Oreochromis niloticus: one gene and its partner. The protein of the gene in region 2 binds, or shares a complex with, the protein of the main gene of each other region. Links are inferred from orthologs where the notes say so. Each region holds a gene or a part of one and is shown on either strand. Other genes may lie near its edges.

What was found. The genes of interacting proteins can lie anywhere in the genome.
Region 1: mettl14 (region 2) and wtap share a complex: the UniProt entries of both Homo sapiens proteins name them as parts of the WMM complex. The link is inferred for Oreochromis niloticus from reciprocal best matches to the Homo sapiens genes METTL14 and WTAP.

The regions. Positions count from the first base shown.
Region 1 is NC_031980.2:12,347,336-12,354,628, reverse strand, and holds the start of wtap (pre-mRNA-splicing regulator WTAP), read right to left. Parts: upstream 3,046-7,293; 5' UTR 2,841-3,045; intron 2,267-2,840; 5' UTR 2,259-2,266; coding exon 2,229-2,258; intron 2,102-2,228; coding exon 2,046-2,101; intron 1,948-2,045; coding exon 1,889-1,947; intron 1,736-1,888; coding exon 1,608-1,735; intron 591-1,607; coding exon 412-590; intron 1-411. Other genes in the region: sod2 (superoxide dismutase [Mn], mitochondrial), read left to right, coding at 4,304-4,332, 4,951-5,156, 5,361-5,477, 5,927-6,106, 6,220-6,365. UniProt on the Homo sapiens protein: Associated component of the WMM complex, a complex that mediates N6-methyladenosine (m6A) methylation of RNAs, a modification that plays a role in the efficiency of mRNA splicing and RNA processing.
Region 2 is NC_031971.2:20,855,385-20,862,870, forward strand, and holds the start of mettl14 (N(6)-adenosine-methyltransferase non-catalytic subunit METTL14), read right to left. Parts: upstream 3,042-7,486; 5' UTR 2,860-3,041; coding exon 2,794-2,859; intron 2,393-2,793; coding exon 2,304-2,392; intron 1,975-2,303; coding exon 1,887-1,974; intron 213-1,886; coding exon 135-212; intron 1-134. Other genes in the region: prss12 (neurotrypsin), read left to right, coding at 4,353-4,686, 5,751-5,889. UniProt on the Homo sapiens protein: The METTL3-METTL14 heterodimer forms a N6-methyltransferase complex that methylates adenosine residues at the N(6) position of some mRNAs and regulates the circadian clock, differentiation of embryonic stem cells and cortical neurogenesis.

The DNA.
Region 1 (7,293 bases), on a different chromosome or scaffold from region 2:
CTGGTTTGAGCGGCGGGGGCAGGGAGGCCATATCCACGTCGGGAAGCGAGTGACCACCTCTTCAGGAACAGTCCGGACTCCTTCAGGCCCTTGGACGGTGAGGGGAACTCGAGGGGAGAGAGCTGAAACACAAGTGTCACCTGACCATACTGTCTTTTCTCTTTAGGTTATGTGATATGTAGCTGGCACAGTGCAAGAGTACAAAAACAGTTTGGGGTTTGTTTTTTTTTTTGGAGTGACTGGCTTTCTGTAAAGTCTGAATCTCGTGGTGAGTACAGCACTTTGTCAGCCTTCCCCCCCACCATTGTTCCTGCATGTCTGCAGTGAGAGTGAGGGTGGGGGGCGTGAGGAAGTCTTGACTTTTCTGTTTTGTTTTGTTTTTTTGAGGGGGATTATTTTGATTGTCTTTACCTATCAGGTGTAAATTTCCAGGCACTCAGTTCATTTTGGGCCTGCTCCAGTTTGTCTTTAGTCTGTTCCAGTTCAGCCTTCATTTTGAGGAAAAACAAGTTGATGGATGGGTCCACCATGGACGACCGCAGTTGGGCCACGCTCGGCTGCTGGACTTGCTTGAGGTACTGGATCTGCGTCTGCAGGATACAACAAACACATGTGACTGGCAGGAACAAATAAACAAGTGTTTTATCATGGTTCAAGAGAAAATTCTTGGGTTTGGCTCTGATCTCCAGTAGCCGTGTTTTTCCTCTTAAAAAATAAACAAAATGTGTAAAATTGGAAATCGCCATCTTCTGATGGCAACTTTTCTGCTAAAGTTATCTAAAGATGTGGACTCAAACAATTTAAGCATGTTACCTTAGAGCAACACTTGGTACCTACCATCTACAAAGTTTTCAAGACAAAATCTCTAAGTGACAATTACTTCCAATCATTTGACAGTTGCCTTTCCAGGCCCGGGGAGATCAGACTGGTCCAAAACAAATGAAACTCACCTGCCAAAGTTATGATGACATCAACCATTTTTGTTGTTGTTTTTTTGTGTGTGTGTGTGTGTGTGTGTCTCAAACACATTTAGCTTAAAATTCTGGTATTTCTGTTGAAAACTGTGTCCCCATGCTTTCCATTTCAATGTGACTGCAGGGTTTCCAAGTTTAAAGCCTGTGCGTTGAGCTCACCTCAGCTGCACTTTAAGAATGGCATGTGCTACCATAAAGCAGCTGTTTGATCCACTGAGCTGTCAATCTGGCAAGAGCAAAGGATGCCTTGGCTTGAAATAATTTACTTTTAGCCTCTTTTCCATGATCATGACAGTTTACTAAGGAAAGCTCTCTGCTGGAGTGTTGCAAATTATTCAATTCATTTAAATTTAGTAATAAAGTTAAATTATTTTGCACTTTGAAAACTTGTATTATTAAATTTAGAATTTAGCATAATAATTACCCAGTTTTGACATGTTTAATAGCAACCTGTAACATCATTACTCATTCACAAAGTTACTGATGTTCTTTTTGGTGAAATCTTAATGAAAGAAAGCTCATTTAAACATTATGTTAGAAGGGCTATATTCCTATAAGAACTATATCAAGTACTCAAACTGTAGTACTAATGGAAACTGAATGTCAAGCATAATTAGAGGAATAAATACATACTGTGCACTCTTGCATTTCCTGCTCCTTGGTGGCAAGTCGCATGACCAAGATGTTTTCCCTCCGCGCGGATTCCTGCTGCTGCTGCTTGAGCTTTTCCTCCGACTCCTTCAGCCCTGGAACGTCATTGGCTGAGGCGATAAAAGCGGTGCAGAAATGCAAAACATATCAGAAAAATTCCTTTCACTGACTGCCACAGACAGCAGCACCGGGCAAAAACATGGTGATTGTTGAGATGCTGACAAGGTTAAATCATAACCGTGTCTTATAGCAGGTGTACTTACAACATAGCTCCGCATATTTCGCCTCCAAGACCTGGACATAGGCTTCATGCTGTTTCCACCTGTGATGGGCAGAACATGTTTTAGCTGCTCATCCAAAACACAAACACCAAATTCCCCCTACCACAAAATAATCACCAACAGCAGAGCTGTTACCTACCTTGCACACAACTCTTCTCTGGTCAGAGTCTTCATGTCCGATTCACTAAGGCGAACCTGTGTGAACGAAAACCCAAGCACTGGTTACATAAAGAAACCCATTAGAATATTTGGAGGGTGGTGGGCAGGGTCGTGACACATAACAAATTACAAGGGGTACATTAGAATAAGAAAAGAAACTCACTTTCTTGGGTAGAGGCTCCTCGTTGGTCATTGTGAACCCTGTAAGTAAAAACACGACAGGAAATCAGCAGTAATTACAGCTTGGGGTTGTGTGCTTAAAGGACTGCATCATGTTTTAACGCGATGGCTATCAACACGCAGTACAATGTACAGCAACTCTGATAACTCGGTACAAAAGCTGTGCCTTTCAGCTAATAGATGACCCTGATGGTGTGTGAGGAACACATTAACTATCCCGCAAAACCAAATCAAAGTTAATATTAGCAGTTTATAAGAGCAGCCGAGCCTTGTGTTAGCTCGTGTGACAAGCAGCAGCAGCAACGGACCGCGAGAAATGGAAAATATGCTAACCAAGGTTAACACTGGGCTGCTAATAAGGTTTAGCTGTTTCCGTTAGCAAACTAACTACACGTAACGAAACAGCAGTACCGAGCTTCACTATTTCCCTATGTCCAGCCTGGCAGCATACAAGTCTTGGATCTGTTTTCCGCTCCTTGTTATCACAAAATGGCGGTGAAGGAAATGACTCCCTCCCTAGCACTCCTTTTCCTGAAACTAGCGGGCTCTGGGTGGCAGATATCGGGCCTTCAGCCATCAAAGAAAAATCACTTACCAGATCAGTTTCTTTCGATGTTTCTGGATCCTCTTGGTGTCAGGGGTTCTTTGTGAAACGAGAACCTGCGACTTGGTTAAAAATTATGGGGAAGTTATTTGTAGTCGTCTCGCTTCGGCGTGGTCAACAGCATCTTCCTCGCGGTCGACTAAACAGAATGGCTGTAGCTGGGCGCTGCGCTGCACTTGCCTTACTGCAGAGTTCTAGCACAGATAGAGGCAAAGAGCGAGACCTCTCACTCCGCAGCGATTTTAAGATCATAAAATGTACCCCTCAAATAACAGTAAACAGTAGATATTTTTTATGTGATTTTGATGAATTCATCCCCGCATTGCTATTTTTATTGTATTATTTTTAGCCTTAGTTTGTATGAATGGATGTTTTTAATTATTAACTAATGTATTTATGTTAACAAATGTATTTAAATATATACACAGCACAAAGCTCCCCCTTTTGTACTATTGGTAGGAGTAGTTTGAAGAAATACTTTTTTAATTATTATGAGTGTTCATAAACATAATTATTTGAATTAATTCATAAAAGAAATCTAGAGTAGAGAAATCCTTAGTGTGCCTTGACATTAGCCTTTGGTGCATCATCGACTGTGAGTTGTACCGAAACTTGTTTCTGCTGTTGAAGAAAGAAGTGTTTCTTTTTAGGATCTTGAAATGTAGACTTCAAAAAGACTAAAAAATAACTCGAAATTGTGAAATAATAAGCCATATTTTCTTTTTTATTTCTGTTGCAGAAATAACTTCCTGTTGTTCCATGAAGTTGACACTTCTGGTGCATGCTAGAATTGTTCTCAGTTTAGTGTCCACCAGAAGTGACACCGTGTTCTGAATTCAAACCTGAGGGTTTTCCCTTTTAAGCAAGCGTTGTTTGCTTCTTAGTGCGCCATTATTTTAATATAGACGATCTCCGCCATTGCCTCCACTGTTGTGGGGAGAACGTTCACGTGACTCTCTGCTGTTAGTTTTTTTATTTTTTTAATTATGCTTGTATTAATTATGTATTAAGAACTACTCCTTTAAATATATGCTTTGTTTTGCAATAAATAAACAGAGTGAATAGATTTACAATAAATGAAATATACGAGAAGAATTTTTTTTTTTTTTTTTCATAACAGTGATATAATGCACTTTTTTAAAGCTACGGAAAACCTACTAGAGGGAGGAGTTGCAAAATAATACAGAAGGTAAGGAGCTTTGTTTATTATTATTCCAGAGTATCGGGATGCGTTTTTAATACAGTCTCTCTCATCTGCCAAGTGTCTCTAATAATGTGTGTCGTTGTCACATGTAGCCGCTTGACTCCTGTGTTTATCCAATTCCCGGACACCCCCACAGCATAGATGTAATGGTACGGTCGCCTCCTCTGTCAACTTGAAATTGCACATTTCAAGGGCAGTTGTTATCAGCGTGTGTATTCCTTCATTCTGTCCATTGAACAGCATTAGGAACATGCTTTGCAGAGCTGGACAAATACGCAGGTAAGATTGTTGTCACTTGAGTATTTGGTGCGTGTACTGTGCTCAGAGTGCATACGGAATCGGGGCTCTTGACTTCTGCTAGCAGCAGTTGTTCTTGAACGTGACAGTTGCTTATTGATAGCTAGCAGTTAGCTAACCGAAATGCTAACTGGCAGCTCAGCTAGGTTAGCTTATGGCGCACTAAATACAGGGTTTTGTTTATTAAACGCGTAATCATCCTGTTATGAGCTCGTGCATGAAGTTATGAACCGAATGTCTTAATATTGAGCCAGTATCATGTGTTCAGTGAACTAATATGTAGATGACTGTGCTTCAAGAGCTGCATAAATCCAGTATCAACAACAGACATTTAGGTCAGTTGCTTAAGTAAGCTAAAAATCCTACCTCTGATACCCTGCAGGGAAGTAATTTGGTACGGCTTAGTTGCACAGCCCTGTCAATAGCTCCTTAGCAAATTACTCTTTGATAAGAAAACTATAGTTTAAAAGTAGTTCTGTTTGGTACATCTCAATTTCTGTATCCCTAAATAACTGAATTACAGTTTTCTTGCTGATGTCATGACATTTTCATGATGTCATGCCTTATTTCATGCTGTATTACTTCATTATTTCTTTTCAGGTGTGCAGCCAGCCTCAGCCACACTATTAGCAAGGTAGCTGCATCGAGGCAGAAGCATACTCTCCCTGACCTGACATACGACTATGGTGCCCTGGAGCCCTACGTCAGTGCAGAGATCATGCAGCTGCATCACAGCAAGCACCATGCTACATATGTCAACAACCTAAATGTTACAGAAGAGAAGTATCAGGAGGCTCTTGCAAAGGGTATGGGCAGAGTCGCATGATATTTCACTTCACATGACTCTAATTGAAAATGAAGACTTTAAAAGTAGTTGTCTATATGAAGTTGTAATTAAGATTCTGATATGTACGTTACAGTTTTTTTCCTTAAAGATTTTTCCCCCAAACATAAATGTGTAAGAGTTTGACAGAAGCTGTATGTTGTGTATATTTGACTTACATTTTTAGGAGACGTGACAACACAGGTTGCTCTCCAGCCTGCCCTCAAGTTTAATGGAGGCGGCCACATTAACCACACCATCTTCTGGACAAATCTCTCTCCAAATGGTGGAGGTGAACCACAAGGTAAGACAGAGAAATCCACAAAAATACAAAAAACGGTATATGACCAGACTAAGACAACTCATGGCCAATCAACTTGTTTGTCTTTAATCAGATCACTTGGTTTTTCTCTGAGACATGCTGACTCTTATTGAATGTGCAACTTAATTTTATGACTTGCTGAAAAGTTGATTCATATGGTTGCAGAGTTTTTTTAGTGTTACATAATGACTGAAAATTGCACCATTTCCTAATAACTGGCTTAAAGCTCAGTTTTGTTAATATGGAAATTGTCATGAAATTTGATCAGTGGCCATGAGTACTATTCAGAGTTGGGGGAATGGTTGCAGTCACCGAATTGTATCATCACTTGGATAAGTGCAACATTTCTTTCACTGAAAACACTCCAACCAAGAAATTTATGTGTTGTGCCATTTCACTGAAGCATACACATCTGTTTGACAACTTTGTAGGAGAGCTAATGGAGGCAATCAAACGGGACTTTGGCTCCTTTCAGAAGATGAAAGAGAAGATGTCTGCTGTTACGGTGGCTGTACAGGGCTCAGGCTGGGGGTGGCTTGGCTTTGACAAGGACAGTGGAAGACTTCGCATTGCTGCTTGTGCTAACCAGGATCCTTTGCAGGGGACAACAGGTCAGTTGGACTTTTTGTGATTTGGTGCATATAAATAAAACTAAATTGAATAAATGCGACTTGGCCATCTAACTGCCACATGGCCTTTTTGTATGTATTTTTTTGGCACTTAGGTCTCACTCCCCTCCTTGGTATTGATGTATGGGAGCATGCTTACTACCTTCAATACAAGAATGTGCGACCTGACTATGTGAAGGCTATCTGGAATGTAGTCAACTGGGAGAACGTGAGTGAGCGTCTTCAGATGGCCAAAAAGTAGAAGCTGATGCACAGCAACCACTAAGACTTGGATCAAACAGTAGTTGCCTGCATTGAATCAGAATTTAAAAAATCAGACTTATGACAGTTCAAACCTTCAGACGTAACTGGCATTTAAACTGTCTTTAAAATAATTTTGGGTTTTGTTTTTTTTGGTACATATATTGTACGTGAAAAAGCTGAAGCTAGCGGGCAAGTACTGTTTATCTCTGGTCTGTTCTCAACCGCTAGTAATTTTGAAAGCGCACAATAATGGACAACTTTAACATCAAAGCTGGCTTTTGCCATTCTCACATCTTATGAGTGGCATACCAGGTGTAAGATAACACGAGTGCATATTCAGATAGCTGTCTCAGTCAGGTTAAGCCACACTAAAATCAGACAATGTTATTGCAGTCCTTGTATTTGCTGTATGATAATAAAAATCAGAAATTGTAATAAAACAGTTGTAAAAGCTTGATTCTTCTTCTTTCTTTCCTTTTTTCATTACCTGTAAGATTCTAAAATTTCACTTTTTTTTTTTCTTTTTTTTTTCTCCCCCCCCCTCTAAGCTATAAGAGAAGCTGGAGTTAAAAATGCAGTTCTATACTTTATTTAGTTTAAATCCTCATGGCCCCATTATAGGGCAGTGTTGAATACTGGTCACTGAGGCTCATGTTTTCAAATGCGTTTTAGCTCAGTTGGTGTTAAAAGATGGATGTCAACATTGTATTGTGTGTAGGTTTTATTTTTTTTCTCCTCTCCTGTCTAATACTTTAAAGTTTCACCCAAGATGAGTTCAGTCCAATCAAGATTTAAATCCAGGCATTAAGTACCTTGATTTCTTAACAAAGGTCACATAAACCTCACGATTCTGTCAAGCTGAAAAATCTTAGGTTTTATGCCTACATCTGGTCATACTGCTGCTATTTACAATGTTCCCAGAAGAG
Region 2 (7,486 bases):
CTGTAGATCTAGGAATGTTAGACGTCCATTCAAAAACATTTTTTTGTCTTAAAGTTGCTGGATACTTTGTGTGGAAACAGGTTATGCAAGTCCACATAAATGAGACTGTGAATGCAAAGAAAGAGTTTCCCAACCTTAAGAAAAGTACTTGAGTCCTTGTACACCTCTTCGTATGGGTTGGTTTCATCTGGTTGCTGCACTTCCAACTCATCCTAAAACACAAACATGTGGTTAGCAAACGAATACAGCCGAATGTAATTGCATAATAAAACAAGAGAATTGCTAACTATAATAAACTCCACCACTGTTTAATATGGAGAGTAAGACAAAGACACAAATGTACAAAAAACATTAAATCAGTTAGATGGAAATCAAAGAGGGAGATGGGACATTGTCAGCCTATTAAATCTGTCCACATTTCCATACATTTGTTCTAACACATCTGAATCAATGCATTTTGCACTATATTAAAATACAACACTAATTCCAAAAAAGTTGAGACATTGTGGGAAATGTAAATAAAACCAGAATACAATGATTTGCGGATCTCATAACCCATGTTTTATTCACTGCAGAAACTGAGACAATGTACCATTTTAAGAAAAACAATAGGTCATCATGAATTTGATGGCAATAACACTTCCCCAAAACGCTGGAACAGGGCCATGTTTACGGACTGTGTAGAACCCCGTCTTCTTTTAACAAGAGTCTGTAAATGTCTGGGAGACCAGCTGCTAGGCTTATCTGATATAGCCTTTTAGCAGCTCAGCACTCCTGGGTCTTCCTTGTTGCACGTCTCATTTTATGATGTTCGAGATATTTTAAATTGGTTAAAGGTCTGGACTGCAAGCAGACCAGTTCAGCACCTGGACTCTACATAACTTCCAAACTCAGACCCATCCAGGGGAGTGCCGGATGGAAAAACATGATTTGTCAATCCAGAGAACACGTCTCAACTGCTCTACAGTCCAAGGTAAGCTCTGTTCACAGACTGGAAGTGTTTGGAGCCCATGCAGTCTAGCACCATGTAACATCACCAGCATCCAACAGTGAGATTTGAAATGTGTTGCTGCCAATAAATTCCATAAGGCCATTTTTTTTTAAATGCATCCATCCATGCATTCCCTTCCATAATCCTTATTAGGGTTGCAGGTCACAGGGGGCTGGAGCCTATCCCAGCTATCATATTTTGCCAATCCATCTCTGGGCTAACCATTTAGTTTTAATAAAATAGCAAAATGTTTCAATATTTTACATGTTTTCTGTACTTTATTCTGTTCTATTCATTCAATTTATTACCACACACAGCATGCCAACTTATTTGAAATTACGATTGTAAATCTATACTTCACCATACAATTCATTACCTTAAGATATAATCTGTTAAAACCTTTAATGGGTTGTAGTGTTAAAAATACTTTAAAGTATTAAATGGAAAAATGATCTAATACTTCCACCTTTTTCATAAGTCATTTGTATTTACGTCATTATAGTCATGCAAAAGAGCAAAGTCAAACTCTGGCTCAAAGACAGCATTTACCAGACAAGAGATTAGCAGATTAGTTTTGTCCTCTAATCCAGACCTTTACAAGCCTTTGTGTACAAGTCACGCCAAATTTCAAGGCACTCCTGTATTGATGCTTGTAGAATAAGAGCCTTTATGTCGTCACTACTGATGTCAGTGACCATTTTAACTGTACTGTCAGATAAAGACACTTTTGAACATAGCTTTGCCATAAGCTCCACCACTTTAAGCATATGTTATTGCTGTCTATGGCACAATGTCACAATACTTAACTCCTCCTGACACATCCAGGCTTTTTAATTCAGTTTTATTTATATAGTGCCAAATCTCATAAACTCAACATTTATGTGGTTACACTCACCTTTTGCTCTTCCACATCCTCCTCTGTGTCCTCTCCTTCTGTCTGTGCTTTCCTTTTAGAAGATGGGGCTGTGCTGTCATATGAAGCCCTGAAAACGAATACACCTCTATATTTCAACATTTCCTTAGTCCCAAAGCAAGCATTTGGTACTGAAAAAAATGACATCACGGAGCTCATAAGATGACAAAAAGACTGTGCATGCAGTAAACCCAAAGAGAAAAATGCTTCTGAGGATTTCTGCAGTTTAGTAAACGGACTGGGACTCTTAACGGTTCAGGGGAACTTGGGGGGTATGTTGCTTAATGATGCTTCAACATGTGGCGATGAGGAATGATTCACAGACTTTGTGATTGGTGGATGGTCCTCTCTACCGCCTGAGCCACAGCCACCATGAACAGTACCAACACTATAGCTTACCTGCATGTTTCTCTAGTCTCCTCGATCTCTTTTAGTTCGTCTTTACTGTGTAGGACTGCTCCGATGCTGTCTGCGCTTTCAGCTCCCAGCTGTGGTAACGATAGAGCAAGTAAATATAAAGTCCCTCCTGCCTGTGTTCTGTTAACAATACAGTGCCAACTATGACGAAACATGTGCTTAATAAAACACCCCTTGGTATTTTGTACTGCTGGTACGTGACTCCATAGCGTTACGGATAATTGTAATGGCTCCTCAATGCGCTCAAATCTTTTATTTAGACGTACACCGAGTCTGCTCCTCTCAAGGGCGACCACTCTGAATGTTTTAAAGGGGTAGGCTTGTTATCGGCACCCATACATCGGTGTATTGGGCGGAAAACTATCTGAAAATCCATTTTGCACATAACACGCTTAGCTCCACGTTATTAACACAAATCCGTTAGGTATGTAGGTAAGTTGACAGGCAGCTGGAGGGCTCGTTGTGTACTTGCCTGTTGAGCTAACAGCTGCCGCCTAAGTTTTTGTCTCTCGCGTATCTCTTGAAGACGGCTGTTCATTGCGTCTTATGTACCGGGTTCTGACACAGTATTAAACCCCCTTGGCGGCTGGTGTAAATAAAATATGTTCATATAACACTTATTGCTATCTGTAACAACAGCTAGCAACCGGCTAATGGGGGATAACCGCTAAAAAATGGAAAAGTCGATAGGTGCAATCGGTTTCGACACCAGTACGCACAGGCACTATGCGTGCCACTTTATTGCCCATCAGCAGGTGGAGTTTGTTCAAAATGAGAGTCAAAGGCACATGTGTATTTGGCTCCTATACAGTTATGCCTAACTGTATTGGTTAAACCATCATAGTATGAACAATGATTGGGTCTTAAGAAAAGAGTGATTTACCGCCTGTCTCAGCGATTGGCGGTGTACGCCGGTATTAATTAAAGAGTGAACCCCTTTGTGATTGAACGGACGCGGTGCGATGATGTCACAATTTTCGGCGTGTATCTCTGACGTTTCGCAAGTCGTCTTCCAATCAGAGACGGTTAGTTCTCCTCGCTCTTCAAGCAGCAGCGGACAGATCCCACGAGGGCTCCCGACTAATAATTTAAACACCAATCACAGCAGAGAGCGCTCACGTTACCTCAAGGCGTATCCACCACTGACAGGAAGGCCGGTCTAGCATGTCAACAATCAATCCCAGCACACCTCACTGCGTTGATTTCGTCGCTGACTTTATTGGTGTTGAGTTTTCACGCACTGGTTCACTGAGAAGTCATTCTTAACATTTGTTATCTTTCAAGCACATCACGTTGTTAAACTCCTGCAGACACGATCCGTCACAAAAGATTCAAGTTGTGAAAGACACGCAATGAAAAAGCGTACGCATTTTTGAGAGAAGATTGCGCAGGAGAAAATTGTGCAAAATGATAAAAGCAAGTGCTTCAGATAACTCACCTGCAAGAACGCATCTCAAATGAACTCCCTACAAATCGGCTCCAAACGACTGAATACGTATAATTTGAGCAATAATAGGAACACCACCGTCTAATAAATATTAAATATATATATATATATATATATATATATATATATATATATATATATTTTTTTTAAGTAGAAGCATTTTAAAATTTAAATACCACGTATTTTCATGTTTTACGTTATTAGAGCAAATGCCCTAATATTTGAGAGGATTTGAATGCTGTCCGTCAGGAGGGGTTTTAGATTTGATTTTATAGAATATTTCTAAACTACTTGGTCGAGTGGTTAATGAGTAGTAAAGGGTACTGAAATATATAAAACAATGCGAAAAAAAAATATCTAAAAAAAACCCATTCCTATTAAATATAGGTACACTGCAGTTTGGTCGAAGCAATCATGTAGTCTATGTTATTGAATTTTCGTTGGAGGACTGCCTTGCCTATGCAAAAAAGAAAAGGGGGTTTCATCGATCCGCGTCGTTCTCACTTTCGTCCCACGGCTGGGCGAGAGGCTGACTGGATGCGTGGAAACCCTCAGCTGATGATAGGATCCGTCATAGCCCTAACATGAGTGTGCCATTTGTTGTTTTAAAAGCCGTTCTTTTGGCTGCGATCAGCTGCTGCTTTTATGCCAGCAGCGTCCCTTCATTCATCCTTCCGTTCACCGACTGCGCCCGAAGCCGTGGAAAAGACGGCTTCTACCGGGGAGCGATAGACGTCACCGAGTCCGGTACCCGGTGCATGAACTGGACCGAAGTGGCCGGCTTCGAGGAGCGCTACCCGGGCAAAGGCATAGGCGAGCACAACCACTGTCGCAACCCGGACGGCCGAATCCGACCCTGGTGCTTTTTTAGGAACCACAGAGGCAGAGTAGACTGGGGGTACTGCGACTGTAAACAAGGTAAACACGCAGGCCTACAGAGCAGCAGCTTTATTGTGTTTTATAGGAATTAACAGCCTCGAAATTGTTGAACGTGGCTACAAATATTAAACCTAGAAGAAGGTGAAATCCCCAGACGAGCAGGATTCAAGACATGCTACAGCAAGGCCAATATGAATGGAATGTACATTTTTGTATAGGCTGAGCAGCTGTAGATAGATGTGTTTTTACAGTGCTGTGCAGCTGAGTCACAGAGCATCCACCCATGGAATAATTAAAGGTGATCATACCTTTGGTTTACCAGAGTGTGAATGTGATTATTCATGTGAAAACATTTGTGTTTTCAGCTTCTTCTGTTTTTTTTAACCATATGCAGCTGTATTATATCACAGTTTTGGTGTCTGTTACTGAACGTTTTAACAATTACATGGCTGTAAGTGAGGTCTCCAGATTCAGTGTGTTTACTATTGCACAAGGAAGAGAGCCACAGGACGCCAGGTGTGTGTGTGTATGTGTGTGTTAGCATGGACTTGGACTGAGGCATTCGCTGTAAGCTTCTTACTTTACAATGTAAAGCAACCAGGTTACCCTGATGCATGCTCACACACCGAGTGACTATAACTGCAAATAATAAATCAAATAAATCAGAAAAATGCAGCTTTTTCATTTTATATTAATCTTATTCATCTTATGGGTTATAAATATTTAGATCATGATTTGCATTGTGGGGCAGTACAGGAGGAACATGTCTCTCCATTTTTGAAGGAAAAGGCTGTGCAGGTAGAAAATATAAAAAGGTGTCACATTTAAAAACAGTCACAGACACATCTTTTGCATTCTGTAATATTTCACTTTTTTACATTAGTCTTATTTTTTGCATCTGATGTGGTAAAATACACAAAAACACCTGTTAGTATATCTGATGATTTATCAGATACCCCCCCACCAGCACCACCACACACACACACACACACACACACACACACACACACACAGACTTTAAGTTCAATGTTCCCCAAAAAGCTTCTTTTGCACATCACATATAGTTTTACATCTACTTTTCTCCAACCGTCTTTCCATCTCAGGCTCCGTCCGTCTGCAAGGTGGCCGCTCCAAGCTAGACGGCCGGGTCGAAGTGTACCTTGGGGGAACGTGGGGGTCTATTTGTAGCAACGACTGGGGAGAGGAAGATGCTACAGTGGTCTGCAGACTGCTGGGCAAGGGGTGAGAGAGCACAAACGTGTACACATGTGCTTAAATGTGCGGTATTTATTTTATCCCTCCCTCTCACAAACGTCGTCAGACACAGGTGCAGGTTCTGTCACCATTTGCCGTTAAATTCATAACTGCTTACAGTGGTCTAACAGAGCTTCATTCAAGCACGCTCCTCTTTTCTGCTCCTACTCTTCTTTACATTCCAGCCCTCTATTCCCCAGAGGCACTTAAATACCTTGAGTGTCGTGCCATTTACGTTGTTTCCCGCACACTCCTACGCTCTCTGTTTCTGTTTTGCCTCTAGCTGTGTGTCGTGGACTTGATTATGAGATGTTAGTCATGCTTCTCAAGGGAGCCTATAGTCAGATTGTATATAACAGCAGTGTCCATAGTCAGGTGAGAAAGTGTCCTGCTCTCCCTGGAGAACAGAGAAACTCTTTGACTTATTGCACATGTTGTCACTAACACCAGCGCTGGCACATGGCACATACGAACACTTGCCTGCGTGTGTGTTTGTATTCACACGGGAGTCAATGAAAGTCTACAGCAGAAAGGAAAAAGGGCAAATGCCAGGCATATGTCATTTGGAGTGCTTGGTGATGACTTTCAGATGCTTAATTATTGAAAGCTGTTGGGTATAAGAACTACTGATGGCATTGGCCCAGAACAACAGATTATGCATGTGCAGACAGCTCAAGCTTACTGCTAGCAGGTTAATAAAGCTGCCTGCTTGTAATTCATAACTCTTGTTCTTAAATGAGATTTGGATCAGTGTCGGGTGGCATGATGGTACGGTGGCCCCTAGAGACAAAGCACGTACAAACTCCAAAGCACATGCAAACTCCAAAACACATGCAAACTCCAAAACACTTGCAAAATCCAAAACACTTGCAAAATCCAAAACACTTGCAAACTTCAAAACACTTGCAAACTCCAAAACACATGCAAACTCCAAAACACTTGCAAAATCCAAAACACTTGCAAACTCCAAAACACTTGCAAAATCCAAAACACTTGCAAACTCCAAAACATATGCAAACTCCAAAACACTTGCAAAATCCAAAACACTTGCAAAATTCAAAACACTTGCAAACTCCAAAACACATGCAAACTCCAAAACACTTGCAAATTCCAAAACACAACGGAAGTGCTCCAGGACGCTAGGGGCAGTGTTGAGCTTTCGTTACCTAGTAACTACACAAGCCAGGAAGTACCAATGACCGGATTTGGGCTCTATCCCAATTCAGGGTCTGCAGCCTTAAAGGCGACATTTTAAGGACGATTATGTCACAGCGAAACGACGAAGGCTGTCCCAATTCAAAGGCTGCTCGAAATGCGGCCCTCAAATGCGTCCTTAATTTCCCTGAATTTTAAGGATGGGTCGGTGTAGCCGTCATGGCCCAACATATCCCAGATTTCATAGCGCGGCCGTGGTGTGGATAATTTTGCCGAAAAAAACGGCGGAAGCGGAGCCGCCAAAGAGTAAACTTTCAGAAGTAAGTACTGAATATTATGTCACTTATTTATGCGCAAATGTTTTTATAATGAAGAACATTAAAACATTACTGTTGGCCACATGTCAGCAAAGTTAAGTGACATTAGTGAT